2 linked regions of the Sus scrofa genome follow. The protein of the gene in region 2 interacts with the protein of the main gene of each other region in a biochemical or structural test. Links are inferred from orthologs where the notes say so. Each region holds a gene or a part of one and is shown on either strand. Other genes may lie near its edges.

The links.
Region 1: of the proteins of MTOR (region 2) and EIF4EBP1, one has a biochemical effect on the other in vitro, tested with the Homo sapiens proteins (29 studies listed by BioGRID and IntAct, with this or other methods). The link is inferred for Sus scrofa from reciprocal best matches to the Homo sapiens genes MTOR and EIF4EBP1.

Annotation. Positions count from the first base shown.
Region 1 is NC_010457.5:48,438,617-48,445,922, reverse strand, and holds the start of EIF4EBP1 (eukaryotic translation initiation factor 4E-binding protein 1), read left to right. Parts: upstream 1-2,549; 5' UTR 2,550-2,585; coding exon 2,586-2,730; intron 2,731-7,306. UniProt on the Homo sapiens protein: Repressor of translation initiation that regulates EIF4E activity by preventing its assembly into the eIF4F complex: hypophosphorylated form competes with EIF4G1/EIF4G3 and strongly binds to EIF4E, leading to repress translation.
Region 2 is NC_010448.4:71,408,406-71,415,530, forward strand, and holds the start of MTOR (serine/threonine-protein kinase mTOR), read right to left. Parts: upstream 4,509-7,125; 5' UTR 4,376-4,508; intron 2,112-4,375; 5' UTR 2,098-2,111; coding exon 1,936-2,097; intron 996-1,935; coding exon 887-995; intron 167-886; coding exon 1-166. UniProt on the Homo sapiens protein: Serine/threonine protein kinase which is a central regulator of cellular metabolism, growth and survival in response to hormones, growth factors, nutrients, energy and stress signals.

The DNA.
Region 1 (7,306 bases), on a different chromosome or scaffold from region 2:
TTTCAAAACAGTCCTACCAAGGAGGTGTGGTGGATGGGCCACTTTGTTTCCTTATGTGGTGAAAAAAGGGCTGGCTAGGGAAGGAGGCAAGACTGGGTCCTAGTCCTATCTCAGGCATTTTCCAGCTGTGTGATCTTGGGCAAACCGCTGTTCCTCCTGGGCTTCTGGGGTTTTTTTGTTTTGTTTTGTTTTTCAGTAAGATGGAGGTAAGTATTGTCCTGGATGACCAGTAATGTACGTGGCCAGAGCCAAAATTGGATGATTCTACAGTCTATAAATTTCTTACAGTACTGCCGAAAAGGTAAAGAGAAGCAGATGAAATTAAATTTTAATGATAGATTTTACTTAACCCAATATACACAAAATATTACTTCATCGTATAATTGGTACAAAACAAGTTATTGAAATATTTTATGTTTTTTTCCACACTAAGTCTTTGAAATCTGGTATGTACTTTACACTTGTGATTGTGGACTAACTACACTCCAAGCGCTCAGTGGCCGTGGCTACCATGCCGGACAGCATAGGCCTACAATTTAGCTCAGGAATGACCAAATCTAACCGGTCTCTCTATCTCCAGCCTCACCCTCCAGTAGTCCATTCTCAAAATCTATGGCTAAGAGTTACCTCTCTTAAAGATAATCACCCCCCTGCTTAAAAGATCTCTCTCTGATAGCTACCGCCTTGGATGACCAAGTCTAAACACCCTGGCCTGATTTAAAAGCTTTTTCACAAGTCAGCTCTATTTCCCTTTTCTTTCTTTGTTTTAAGGGCCACAAGTTCCCAGGCTAGGGGTGGAATTGGAGCTGCAGCTGCTAGCCTACGCCATAGCCACAGCAATCTGGTGTCAGGGATTGAACCTGCATCCTCATGGATATTAGTCGGGTTCCTTACCGATGAGCCACAACAGGAACTCCTCTTTCTTTTTTCTTTTTCTTTTTTTTTTATTTTTACGGCTGCACTTCCTGGCATATAGAGGTTCCCAGGTTAGGGGTTGAATGGGAGCTACAGCCACTGTAATGCCAGATCCCAGTCGAGTCTGCGACCTACACCACAACTCATGGCAATGTCACATCCTTAACCCACTGAGCGAGCCCAGGGATAGAATTAACAACCTCATGGTTCCTCTTCAGATTCATTTCCCCTGTGCCACAAGGGGAGCTCGAGGGAACTCCGGACACTCCTCTTTCTTTCTTTCTTCTCTCTCTCTCCTTCCTTCCTCCTTCCCTCCCTCCTTCCTTTCTTCCTTCCTTCCTCCATCCTTTCTTTCTTTCCTGCCACCCAGCATGTGGAAGTTCCCAGGCAAGGGATGGAACCGGTACCACAACAGTGACCTGAGTCACTGCTACGGTGACAATGCCTGACCCTTAACCACTTCTGCCAAAAGGGAATTCCCTGGATTTCTCTTTTAAACTTTTCTCTCTCTACTCTTCCCGGATGTGGCCACCACAGGTTTTTTTGTCCTCCACTTGAATATTCCTTCGTTTGTTCCTGCGTTCATTTAAAGAGCTCCTGCCAGGGGAGTTCAAGTGAGTTCAGGCGAGTTCCCGTCGTGGCACAGTGGTTAACGAATCTGACTAGGAACCATGAGGTTGAGGGTTCGATCCCTGGCCTTGCTCAGTGGGTTAAGGATCCGGCGCTGCCGTGAGCTGTGGTGTAGGTTGTAGACGCAGCTCGGATCTCGCGTTGCTATGGCTGTGGTGTAGGCCGGTGGCTACAGCTCCGATTAGACCCCTAGCCTGGGAACCTCCATGTGCCGCGGGAGCGGCCCAAGAAAATGGCGAAAAGATTAAAAAAATAAATAATAAATAATAATAAAGAGCTCCTGCCAAACTTCGGGCAGCGTGGGGGTCAGGATCCACTGACCCAACTCAAAGGGCTGCAAATAACCTTCTTTGACCAATATTTCCCCACCACCACCGACGTCCACTCCCTCCCAGCCTCCTCGCTCCGGGTTTAGCCCTCATCACCCAGCTTGATGTTTTGTCCCCAGATCCTAATTCTACATTTCTTCCACGACTGCCACATCGTGAATGTTCAATAAATTGATGAATGACCAACCAATCCTCGCTTTCTCATCTGAGGAAATAGAGCACGGAACACGGAAGGCTTTCGGAGGCAGGGGACCTTCTCGCCTGATGTCCCAGTGTTGCAGCTAGCCTTTCCAGAGTGGGCTGGGTCCGCTGGGACCCCAGCGCAGTCCGAGCTAGAAAGGCATTAACACAGGCAAGCCTCGGAATCTTCCTTCCCATCCACCGGTTCCTGCCCGCGTGGCTCTCGGGGACCCGAAGGGATTAGCGGCGGGGCAGCTAGGAGGCGGAAAGGAATAGGGGAGCGGCGCTAGCAACTACGCTCAGGAGCCCGTCTGTGGGGTGCCCGGGACCCAGCGCGGAAGAGGACTCCTGTGCCCGCAGCCCCCGGGCGGTGGGCGGGGCGGCAGCGCAGCGGGAACTACAAATCCCAGGGGGTGGCAGCCCAGGCGGCGGAAGGGGCGGTCTCGGGCGGGGCGGGCCCGAGCGAGGCAGAGCGAGGCCAGAGGGGCGCCAGGGCCACGCTCTGGGTCCGGGCTCCTCGCGCGGGAGACCATGTCCAGCGGCAGCAGCTGCAGCCAGACCCCAAGCCGGGCAATCCCCACCACTCGCCGGGTGGTCCTCGGCGATGGCGTGCAGCTGCCGCCCGGGGACTACAGCACCACTCCCGGCGGCACGCTCTTCAGCACCACCCCAGGAGGTAGGCGCGGGCCCGGGGGCGCCGCTCGGGGTCTCTGGGTGCGGACGCTGGGAAGGACTGACTGGCCAGGGGGAGGGATAGGGAACTCCAGTTGGACGGGGCGACAGGGCTTCGGGGCGTGGTGACTGGAAAGAACGGATAAGGGGCACGAGGGTGGCTGTGAGGGGCACGGAGGTGGCCACCTGGAACGACAGGGGGGCGCGGGGGGCGCCTTCCATTGCCTGCCCTAGGGGTGCGTGCTCCAGAGCCGCGGCTGCAAATGCCACCTTATAGCTCCTTCTTTCTGGGAGAGACAGCTGATTCCCCCCGCCAAAAACAAGCGCTCGCTTCCAGGACTGCCATAGGCCGAGGTGTGCTGCCCCTTGTGGGTGTTGGGGGCTGTTCTGAGGCTGAATAGGGTGGGGTCAGGTTGGCCTCCCAACCACGGAGAGGGCTGGCCTGAGGTTTTTAGGGGTCGGGATGGGCGCTCTCTGTTGGGGTGAATGGCTCTTGGCAGAGACCGTTTTCCTTCCCGGGGCACCCCCAGCTTTGGAGCCTCGGCGGCTTCTGGAACAAATTGCCCTTTTAGGCTTGAGGATCTCCGCGAAGGAACCCGGGGCCGCGGGCAACGCTGTGCAGAAAAACACGTTCTTCTCTCCGGGGGGGAGGGGGGCCGTGTGACCTCCCAGAGAGTTGATGAGGAAGAGGAAGCTGAGCTGGCGCGGGGCGGGGGCAGCCTTGGGCTGCGCTCGGGAGCCTGGCATTCCCTGCCAGCTCCGGAGCCCTGGCGTATGGGCGCTGATGAAACCTGCCGGCGCGTTTGCATGATGAAATCCTCGTGGCTCACCACTTCTCTTTCGTTCTCGCACTGCGCTCACCCGTTTCTGCCCTTCTTCCCTCCCCTACACCCGCTTCCACCGCTGCTTCCCAAACTACTCGAAAAACTCCACCGATCCTGGCGCTTCGCTGAGAAACACGGGTGCGGGCGGCCGCGGGCGGAGCTGCAGCCTAGCCGCCTGCCAGCGTCGGGGCCACATGCTTATTTTCTCAAGCAGCTGTCCCACCACCAGCGAGCGCAGCCAGATCCGAGCCCTGGGCTGTTTGATCCAAAACACACAACGTTAGAACTTTTAAGGATCTTAGATGTTCTTGTGCAACCGAGCTGCCTTATAGGCCAGAACTGGCACCCAGGCCCCAATTTGGAAAAACGTGTCCACTGTCCCATGTCATACCATTTTCCCACATTGAACAAGAAATAGCAGCCAAGCATAGAGGGGAGAAATTCTGTCTCGTCTATTAAAAATGATTCAAGGACAAATGCCCAGCGATCCTATTTGCCACTCTTGACTCAAATTGTCTGTCCAAGCTAGACCTTATGTAGTCTGTGCTGTTCTGCTTTTTCTGTGTCTCTTGGGACCTATTTGGACAATTTGGGGGCTCCTTCAAGTGAGAGTGTGAACCCCTGCTTGATCTGTTCAGGGTGGGCACTCAGGCAGCCTGATGGCTCAGGTAGCCCTGTTTTGTACCTTTGTTGCTAGGTGGGGGTGGATCAAATTGGGACCAATAGCCAGGGGTGCTGTTTACAGGGAACTCCCACCCACTTCTCACTTTGGACTGGGGAATGGGAGTTGGGGGCAGACCTCAGCCACCCTCCCTCCTTTTGAAGATCTCTGGTTGAGAAAGAGGGAAAGGCGCTTCTGCATCGGTAGCTTCATTTTGGCAGCCAACTGGAAGGAAGCCAGCAGTGCCCGGAGCCTGAAGCCAGCTTTTTTCTTGTCTGAGATGTCCAGCTGGGGAGGCACAGCCCATAGTCCATAATCCGGAGAACCCAGGCTTGCCTCTGCCTCAGCCAAAGTGTGGGGTCTAACTCCAAAGCCCACTTCAGCCCACCCCTTTGCCCTGCCCATAGAGGAACTTGACCTCATGAAAAAAGGTCATTCCTACCCCGCTTCTGCTTCCATCTGGGGTGCTGTTTCTCAGTCTTCAATGTGCATGTGAATGACCTGGGGCCTCATTTCATAGCAGATTCTGATTCTTCAGTTGAGGGGGTAAGGCCTGAGATCCAGCATTTCTAACTAGCTCCCAGCCATTGGTGTAAGTACCAAGCTCTGAGTACTCAGGAGTGAGTGACGAATATGACAACCCTCACCCTTTCAGACCTCTGGGGTTTGACACAAAGTGATGCTTCTATTCAGGTAAATTCTTGAGGTTGGACTTAGCATTCTTCTTTACAGAAGGGTCTGCAGATCCAGGTTTTTGACAGAGGGTGGGGGTGTGTCAAGAGCTTTTTGGAGGAGTTCCTTGGTGGCTCAGCATGTTAAGGATCCAGCATTGTCACTGCTGTGGCTCAGGTCACTGCTGTGGCTTGGCTTCAATCCCTAGCCCGGAAACTTCTGCAAAGAAAAGGCCAAAAAAAAAGCTTTTGGAGTGAGTGTCCACTGGTCACTCTTGCTAGAAAGGGCACTGCAGTGTTTGTCCCTAGAGGAAAAGGAGAGCAAATTATTTGAACCATCTCCATTCCTCTGAGTTCAGTTTGCTTTTCATGGTCATTTACCCTCCCTAGGCTGAGCCCCTGATCTGAAGTTAGGTGGTCTGGAGAACTTGAGAGAAAGTGACCTAAGGGAGTGTCACAGGTGAATATTTGAGTCTGTGGGGTCTTAAAAATCTCCAGTAACACCATAAACCAGCAGAACCTTTGAGTGGGTCAGAAATTTTCCTCCACCCTTCCCCCACCAACTACCATGTTCCCAGTCTCTTACTGGGCATTCGACCCCAAGGCTACCGGGGTTGTTGTTTGGGTCATACCTAAGCCCCGTACCTGGCTAAGGTTAATCAGAGGTAAGCAGGTAGGATTACAGGTGTCCCTAGCACCCTGTTCAGTTAGACAAATAGAGCCTGTGCCCAGGAAGCTTACCTGAGGCAGCTCCCAGGTCTGGCTGCTGTACAGACAGTGCCGGGAAGAGGGGGAGGTGGACTGGGCACTGAAGCCAGCATCCCTGTGCCTTAGTCACATTGTCTCTATGTTATAGGTTAACATAACTTGACATGAAGGCAGTGAGGGAAGTATAATGGGCCTTTTTCTATATTGACCTGAGCTTCCTTTTAAAGTGTTTAGAACATTCCACACTGTGTGCCTTAAGGGCTTTGGCCGGACTCTGATGTAGAGCATCCCAAACCCCGCTGATGCCCATGAGCCTCCCTCGGGTTTTTGGGGGGTTTTTTTGTTTTTGCTTTTGGCGGTTGCTGTTGTTTTGGCTGCAAAACTTGGCAGGTAAAATTTCATGGGCCTTGGAGTTCCTGTTGTGACTCAGTAGGTTAAAAACCCAATATAGTGTCTGTGAGGATGTGGGTTCAATCCCTGGCCTTGCTCAATGGGTCAAGGATCCAGTGTTGCTGCGGCTGTGGTGTAGGCTGGGTCCGATTCAGCTTCTAGCCTGGGAACCTCCACATGCCATATGTGCAGCTGTAAAAAGAAAAATAAGTAAAAAATTTAAACATGTTTTAAGAATTAAAAAGTGGGGGAGAATCCCACAACAGTATGTATTTAAGAAAAAAAAAAAGTTCCCGGGCTGGGGACTGAACCCAAGCCACAGCAGTGACAACACCGGATCCTTAGCAACTAGGCCACCAGAGAACTCCCAAGCCTCCCTGTTTTTAAAGGCTTTTTTGGCAGTCTGTCCTCGAGGGCTTGGGTTGCAAGTGAGAAAGATGAAGACACCTGAAATAGAACGATAAACCTCAGAGTTGTATCTGTAGACCAAAGCAATTAGGCAGACCCCTGCCCCCCACCCCCTCCCTGTAGAACTTGTACGACACTCAAGTGGGAACAGTACACTCCACGTAGTCAGCCTGGTAGGCCTTAACATTCTAACAGTGCACACACAGCTGTTGAACTGCCTTCAGAGCCTTACATATTTTTTTCAATATCCTTAAAGGTGGCATGGCCTCATTTTTTATTTTTAAATTATTTTTAGCTGTGCCTGTGGCGAGGGATCCAACCCACGCCACAGCAGCAACCAGAGCCACTGCAGTGACAATGCTGGATCCTTAACCCACTACACCACAAGGGAACTTCAGGGTCTCATTAGTTGAAGAAGGATGTTGACCCCTTTTTTTTTTCCTGAAAGAGCCAAAATGTCCTTCATTACCAAATTCAATGAAAGGGCCTGCAGGATGGTACCATATTGGTCTGTTGGTTTAAAATACTGAGGCGTTTTCTTGTGTGAATCTTTATTTGATCTCGTTCCAGAAGTTAGGAAAACTCCTGTTAGGAAAGGGCAGCATTATTGAAAAAAGGATTGCTTCCCAAGGTGAAGTGAAAGAAGAATGTTCCTTTGTAAGCACAGATTCTTGCCAGTTCAAACAAAGGAAAAACTTGTTACTTTTTAGTCCTACTGAGATCCATGCCAGTGTTCTTCCTCCTCATGATTCATAACAGTGAATCACGTGTATTTGTTTGTTGTTTGTTCCCTGGGTTAGACAGGAAGTTCTTGCAGAGCTGTCTTACTCATCTTTGCAGTGCCACGTCTGGTGTTGAGAAGGTGAGGGTTGAAAAGATTGCTGGAATGAAGGCATTCTCTGAGTAACCTAGCTTCTC
Region 2 (7,125 bases):
TCCACATACTCTGCAGTAAAAGTGTCTCCTGCCATGGCGAGGCGACCAATGGCCTTGGATGCCATTTCCATGACAACGGGGTCATTGGAGGGGAGGAGGTTCCGAAGATAGTTGGCAAATCTTCCGATTCGGGTGGCATTCCCGCCTTCCACTCCTATGAGGCTGGCTGGCAAAGAGAGGAAGGCAGAGGATGAGTCGGGCATGTGCGGTCCACGGAGGTCCACTGTCTTCAGAGGAAAGCTAGCGAGGGACCCCTTCCTCCTACTCTAAGCACAGACTGCAATTTCCAGCTGGTGAGGAGGCAAATAATTTCCATTCCATTTTAACAAACAGACTTAATGTTTGGACCAGAACTACTTAGATAAAGCAAAATGATCTCATCTTAATATTTTAGCATATACAGGTTTCCCAAGAAGAAAAGGAAAACAAACCAGGACTGAATAATAATTCACAGGATGGATAACCAGTCCCCATGAGCTGAAATTATCTGCCTTTTATTCACAGTCCCCTCAACTCTACTTTTCCATTTCTGAGCTCTGCTCTGCCAAACTTGGCTCTAGAGAGAAACAAGAGCCTGCAAAATGCAACAAGGGTAGCAGGAAGAAAGCTGACTTCCAGCCTCAGCTCTGGCGCACCAGCCCTGGAAAAGTCGCTTAGTGGTTCTGAGGCTCCATGTCTGAAAAAAACCCTCTTTGCCCTTGGGTTTGCCCAGGACTGTGGTTAAAATTAATAGCCGAATAAGCAACTGAAAGCCACAAGTCTCCTTAGAATTCATTAAACAAATATGAAGTGAGGATCCAGTAAGTAGTAGACACGGAGTGCAGTGGACACAAAGGACACAGTCCTGGATGTCCAGTTCTTACTGTGCCAGAGACCCTGTCCTTACCTATGGCCAAGATGCCGCCTTTCCTCTCATTGGCATCTGAGCTGGAAACCAGTTCAAAAATGTGATGGTTCAGCTGATCATAGAAACGAGTAGACTCCTCTTGACTCATCTGTAAAGGAAGACGTATTCAGGGCAATGTCTAATGTTCCCTGCTGGTGGGGGCGTGGGGTGCCTTTCGAAGACCAGAACCCAAGAGGTGGCCAGCAGGTGCAGTTAACCGAAGACGACACAGCCGCTGACCATCTCTGTTGTTTTAAACCGTAGAGCAATCATCTGTTTACTTAACCAATACCTACTGTGTATCTACTCAAGGGGAGGCCATGTCCTGTCCTAGATTCTACCTGGTAGCCTGGGTACAAGGCCAAAAAAGACACTGTCCCTACCTCAGGTCTGGCCTCTATTTGAAAAGCCCCAAGCAATCAACTCTTCAAACCCATCCCAACCCATGTTATCAGGCAGAAAGATTCAAAAGCCTGGAATGTGGCATGAAAAAGAAAAAAATTAAAAGAAACAGCCGATTCTTTTTCTTTCTTTCTTTCTTTCTTTCTTTTTTTTTTTTTTTTTTTTTTTTGTCTTTTTAGGGCCACACCTGAGGCATACGAAGTTTCCAGGCTGGGGGTTGAACCAGTGCTGTAACCGCTGCCTACACCACAGCCACAGCAACGCCAGATCCGAGCCATGTCTGCCACCTACACCACAGCTCATGGCAACGTGGTTCCTTAACCCACTGAGTGAGGCCAGGGATCGAACCCGCAACTTCATGGTTCCTAGTCGGATTCGTTTCCGCTGCACCATGACAGGAACTCCCGGAACAGCCAATTCTACTCTGACTCCTAAACTATCACAAGAAAGGAAATGCCACAGAAATGTGGAACTGTGGCAAAGGAACCTGCCCATTCTACAGACCTGAGAAATTGGGTGCCTTTCTAAACTAGAATCTTTGCCTTTTCTGAGCCCTCAATCAGCTGTCAAGAGGCATCTAAACCAGGAATGGCACATGCAGCCCCAAAAGGCCATGATGAAGGGCCCCAAACCGCAGCAGCTCCAACCTCTCGGAGCTCCATGGTGACATAGTGCTGGAGTTCCTTGGCAGCTTTGGCCCTGGTCTCCTCATTCCGGCTCTTCAGGCCACTGGCAAACTGCTGCAGGACGCTCACGTTGCTGGAAGTGGTGGTCGCTGTGGTGGCGGCGGCAGGTCCGGTTCCAAGCATTTTGCCCTGAGGTTCTTTGGAGAGAAGCTGGCTTTAATATTCTGGATAACAAACCATGGCGGTGAACTAATCTATGGCCCCACCTCCCCCCACAGGCCTCCACTCATCCACATCAGGCTGGGGATCCTAAAAAGGCTGGGAGACCCCAATGAAAAGCATGCAGAAAGCCTCAATTCATTTGATAACCACGGGTGTTGAAAGAGGCAGCAGAGCAGAGAAGGTCAAATTATGCTATGGGCTGTGCAGCCAGACTACCTGGGTGTGAATCCAGTCCAAAATTATATACCTCAAGGAAGACACTTCAAATATCTTAGTTATAATCGGAGGATAAGAGTACCTAACTCAGAGGACTGATGTGAAGATTAAACGAGCTAATACATGTTAAAAAGTGCTTAACATAGTGCTGGGCACACAGTGAGTTTGCAATAGTTGCTGGGTTAATATTATTATTATTACTACTACTCTGTACGTTGCACAGAGCCAGGTAGCAGAGATGGGGAGCGTGAGAGAAAACAAAGCAAGCCTAAGACTGCCCCTCTCCTCAAATTCACTTTAGAGAGGGAAACTGATTGTTATTCTATAGCAGCACGGGTCTGACAGAAATACGAGCTACAAATGTAACTTTAAAGTTCCTAGTAACCACATAGCAAAGGTCAAAAGATACAGGCAAAATTAGTTATTTTATTTACTCCAATATATCCAAATATCATTTCAACATGTCACAATATAAAAAGTTATGACAGGTGTTCCCTGGTGGCCTAGCAGTTACACATCCAGCACTGTCACAGCTGTAGCGCACGTTCGATCCCCGGCCCGGGAACTGATGCTTGATGTGGGCACAGCCCACTGCCTCCCTCCCCCCCAAATTACTGATATATTCACTTACGGCAATTTCTTTTTTTTTTTTTTAGGGCTGCACCTGCGTCATATGAAAGTTCCCAGGCTCGGGTCAAATCAGACTATGGCTACCGGCCTACACCACAGCCATAGCAACATGGGATCCTAGCCGTGTGTGTCACCTACACCACAGCTCATGGCAACATAGGATCCCTGACCCAATGAGTGAGGCCAGGGATCGAACCTACATCCTCATGGATACTAGTCGGATTCATTTCTGCTGCGCCCCAATGGAAACTCCACTTACTGCAATTTCAACTTAGCAATTTCAACATTTTCAAGTGCTCTAAGCCACCTGTGGTTGTTGTATTGGACAGCGCAGTTCCATAAAGACTAGTACTTGGAATGTAAGCTAAAAAAAGACTAATTAGTTCCTGAGATCAGGCATTTGTTCCACAATTATGTATTGCCCCTCCCCTCAGCAAGCTTACAGTCTAGGAGGAAGTACAGACAATCCGGCAACCACAATAAAGTGGCCATAACAGAACTCGGCCCAGACTGCGACGGCCGTAACATATACACCTATCCTAGGGTATGTCCTGATTATATTAGAAAATCAAATTTTCAAAATTCTTGTTTTTGAAAGAATTTGTGAAATGCAGGAAAAAACAAACAAACAAACAAAAAAACCAGGGACTAATTGGTTCTGAAAGGGTGCAAAGACTGCAGAAGGAAGTGTCAAACTTCAGGAGAGAGGAAACCCAAGGGCTCCAAATGGGAAAACTACTACAGAGTGTGTGGTGCTTGTCTATGACGAGGGGGAGGGAGGCTGGCAAAGAATTTCCAGTCGAAGGAAGGAACCAGTATATCTTAATAAGGTCTAAGGCCTCCAGGCAGAAGTCAAAATACTAGGAGTGAAATATCTATCTTAAGGGTCTTGGCGAGGGCTTACACAAGTTAACGTCAGGTGGCTGAAACTAGGGATGGGGGCGGGGGAAGCAGAGGAGATGAAGCTCAGGGATGGAACCCAGCTCAGCTCTGCGAAATGGGTGCTTGAGAGGTCTCCACGGTGGAGCTAAAGGGGCTGACACTGACGCTGGTCCTCTCGGAGGCCAATCGGTAGGTGGCTCATAGGGGTGACTGATGCGCAAGGCGACCCAAATGCTCCCCAGCAATACAGGAGCTCATGGGCCCGCCTTCACGGCGCCAGAGACATAGCGTGAGCTAAAGGGTCCGGGGGTTTCCTGGGGATCCGGGAGGAGGTGGGCGTTGCCTCGCGGGGGTCAAGGGCTCCGGCGGCGCCCAAGTCCTTTGGGCCAGTACTGAGGGGACCCCACGTCTCAAACGCACGACTTCCTGGGGGTCCCCCCACGGACCAGGTTGGCCGTGGGTCTGGACATTCCACCGCCTTGGAGGGGTCGGTGCCAGGCCCCAGACTCACCGCGCGGCTTCGGCCGAGGGCTCAGCTGCCGCCACCAGCGCCGGTTCCACTGCTTCAGGCCCCCAGCCCCACCACCCGCCTTCCCCGCTGTCCTCTAAGCCGGGCGGGAGGGAGGGCAGTCTCCCAACACAAAGGACCAATCGATGGGCGCAAGAAGAAGATGGACTGGAATGGAGACCAATAGTAATGAAGGAGAAGTGAAGCTTCAGGACCCGGCTTCTCCGCGGGGCGGAGACTATTCAAATAGACAAACCCTGTGGCCAGTGGCAGGCGAAATAAAGCTTAGATCCTCTCGAAAAAACCAATCGCTGGTGAGTTGACTTCAGTCACTTCCACGCACACATCCGGTGCATCGCTAGTATATTTCCCCTCAGCACCTGGGCTGTGGCCACGCCGAGTCCGCCGCCTGGGTACCGCGGGATTGGGACCACGAGGCAGTAGACCGTGGCTCGAGAACCCGCCGCGTTTAATCTTCAAGATCAAAGTTTAGCGATGCCTGCGCACTATAGTTACTAGAGTAAAAGACGTGGAAGTTTCTGACTAGCATTTCTTGTGCACTCGTGATTTCTCTTTTGTTAAATACGCATTTGAAAGCGCTTTTGGATTTCCCCACTTTTCCAAAATTACCTAGGTCGTAAGATCTTTCGCAAGAAACCATAGACAAGTTTTAGCTAAATGGGTTACTCATAAATAATTTCAAAGCAGGATCATTTTAAAAACATGCTTTCTAGGAGTTCCCGTCGTGGCGCAGTGGTTAACGAATCCTACTAGGAACCATGAGGTTGCGGGTTCGATCCCTGCCCTTGCTCAGTGGGTTAACGATCCGTCGTTGCCATGAGCTGTGGTGTAGGCCACACACGCGGCTCGGATCCCGCGTTGCTGTGGCTCTGGCGTAGGCCGGTGGCTACAGCTCCGATTGGACCCCTAGCCTGGGGAGTGGCCCAAGAAATGGCAAAAAGACAAAAAAAAAAAAAAAAAAAAAAAAAAAAAAAAAAAGCTTTCTAAAATCAATAGCAGGAGTTCCCCTTGTGGCTGCAATGGAAACGAATACGTCTGGGAACCATGAGGTTGCGGGTTCGATCCCTGGCCTCGCTCGGTGGGTTAAGGATCTGGCATTGCCGTGAGCTGTGGTGTAGGTTCCAGACATGGCTCGGATCTGGTGTGGCTGTGGCATAGGCTGGCGCTGTAGCTCTGCTTAACCCCTAGACTGGGAACCTCCATATGTGGTCCTTCAAAGCAAAAAAACAAAACAAAACAAAAAAAAAATAGCAAAAATAAATTTGACATCTCATTTTTTTTTTTTTAAAGCATGGTCTATTGCAATAAACTTTAAAAATTCCTGTATCTTATAATAGGAATCCGATTAAATAAAATATGCATTCCTATTACCGAAACCTCACATAGGCATTAATAATCACAATCTAGATGAATATTTGCTAAAAAAGTAAAGGGTTCACAGTCTGCTAAAAAAAATTCAGGTTATAAAATTTAAGTCTAATATAACCTTTTACAAGTTGTATATTTCTTTTTTTTTTTTTTTTTTTGTCTTTTGTCTTTTTTGTTGTTGTTTTGTTGTTGTTGCTATTTCTTGGGCCGCTCCCGAGGCATATGGAGGTTCCCAGGCTAGGGGTTAAATTGGAGCTGTAGCCACTGGCCTACGCCAGAGCCACCGCAACTCGGGATCCGAGCCGCTTCTGCAACCTACACCACAGCTCACGGCAACGCTGGATCGTTAACCCACTGAGCAAGGGCAGGGACCGAACCCGCAACCTCATGGTTCTTAGTCGGATTCGTTAACCACTGCGCCACGACGGGAACTCCAAGTTGTATATTTCTTATGTGTCTATGTTCACAAAGGGAAAATATACCGCTAAGAGGTAATGGGATTTGGGAAAGGCATGCTTTTTTCTTTCTCTCTCTCTTTCTCGCTCCCTCCCTCCCTCCCTCCCTCCCTCTCTCTCTCTTTCTTTCTTTTTTAATCTTTTTAGGGCCACATGGCATATGAAGTTTCCCAGGCTAGGGGGTGAATCAGAGCTGTAGCCACTGGCCTATGCTACAGCTACAGCAACGCCATATCTGAGCTGCATCTGCGACCTACATCACAGCTCCTGAAACTCAGGATCCCTAACCCACTGAGCAAGGCATCTTCATGGATTCAAGTCAGATTCATTTCCACTGAGCCACGATGGGAACTCCTTTTTTAATACACTATACATACACTAACTTTATACATAGCACCCTACTTGTGTGGTTTAAGAAAAAAAATAGTTGATGAAGTGTAAGTTTCCAGGAGTCTTAAATCTAAATGAGGTTTGGTAATACTCTGTGGCTAACAAAATGCTTTGGCAGATTTAAAAGGAAAAAAAAGTTATGATTGGAGTTCCTGCTGTGGTGTAGTGATTAAGAATCCAACTGCAGTGGCTAGGGTCTCTGTGGAAGTATAGGTTCCATCCCGGGGGGGGGGGGAGGTGATTATGGCTTTAGGTTTAGAATTTTTTCATTACATTGATTCTTCTGTGAAATAATTGTTCCTCTGAATTTCACATTTTTCACTTATGTTCAACATCTTTATATTTAATCATTAAACATGTTTGAATATGTAATGCATTCACTGTTCAAATCTCAAAACAAATAAAAATTACATTTATCATGAAAAGTCTTGCTCCTTTCCTGCCCCTTCACTGCTTATTTTCTTAGTTCTGATGTATCCCTAGAGTTTCTTTTCATGTAAATACAAAACAAATGTAAAT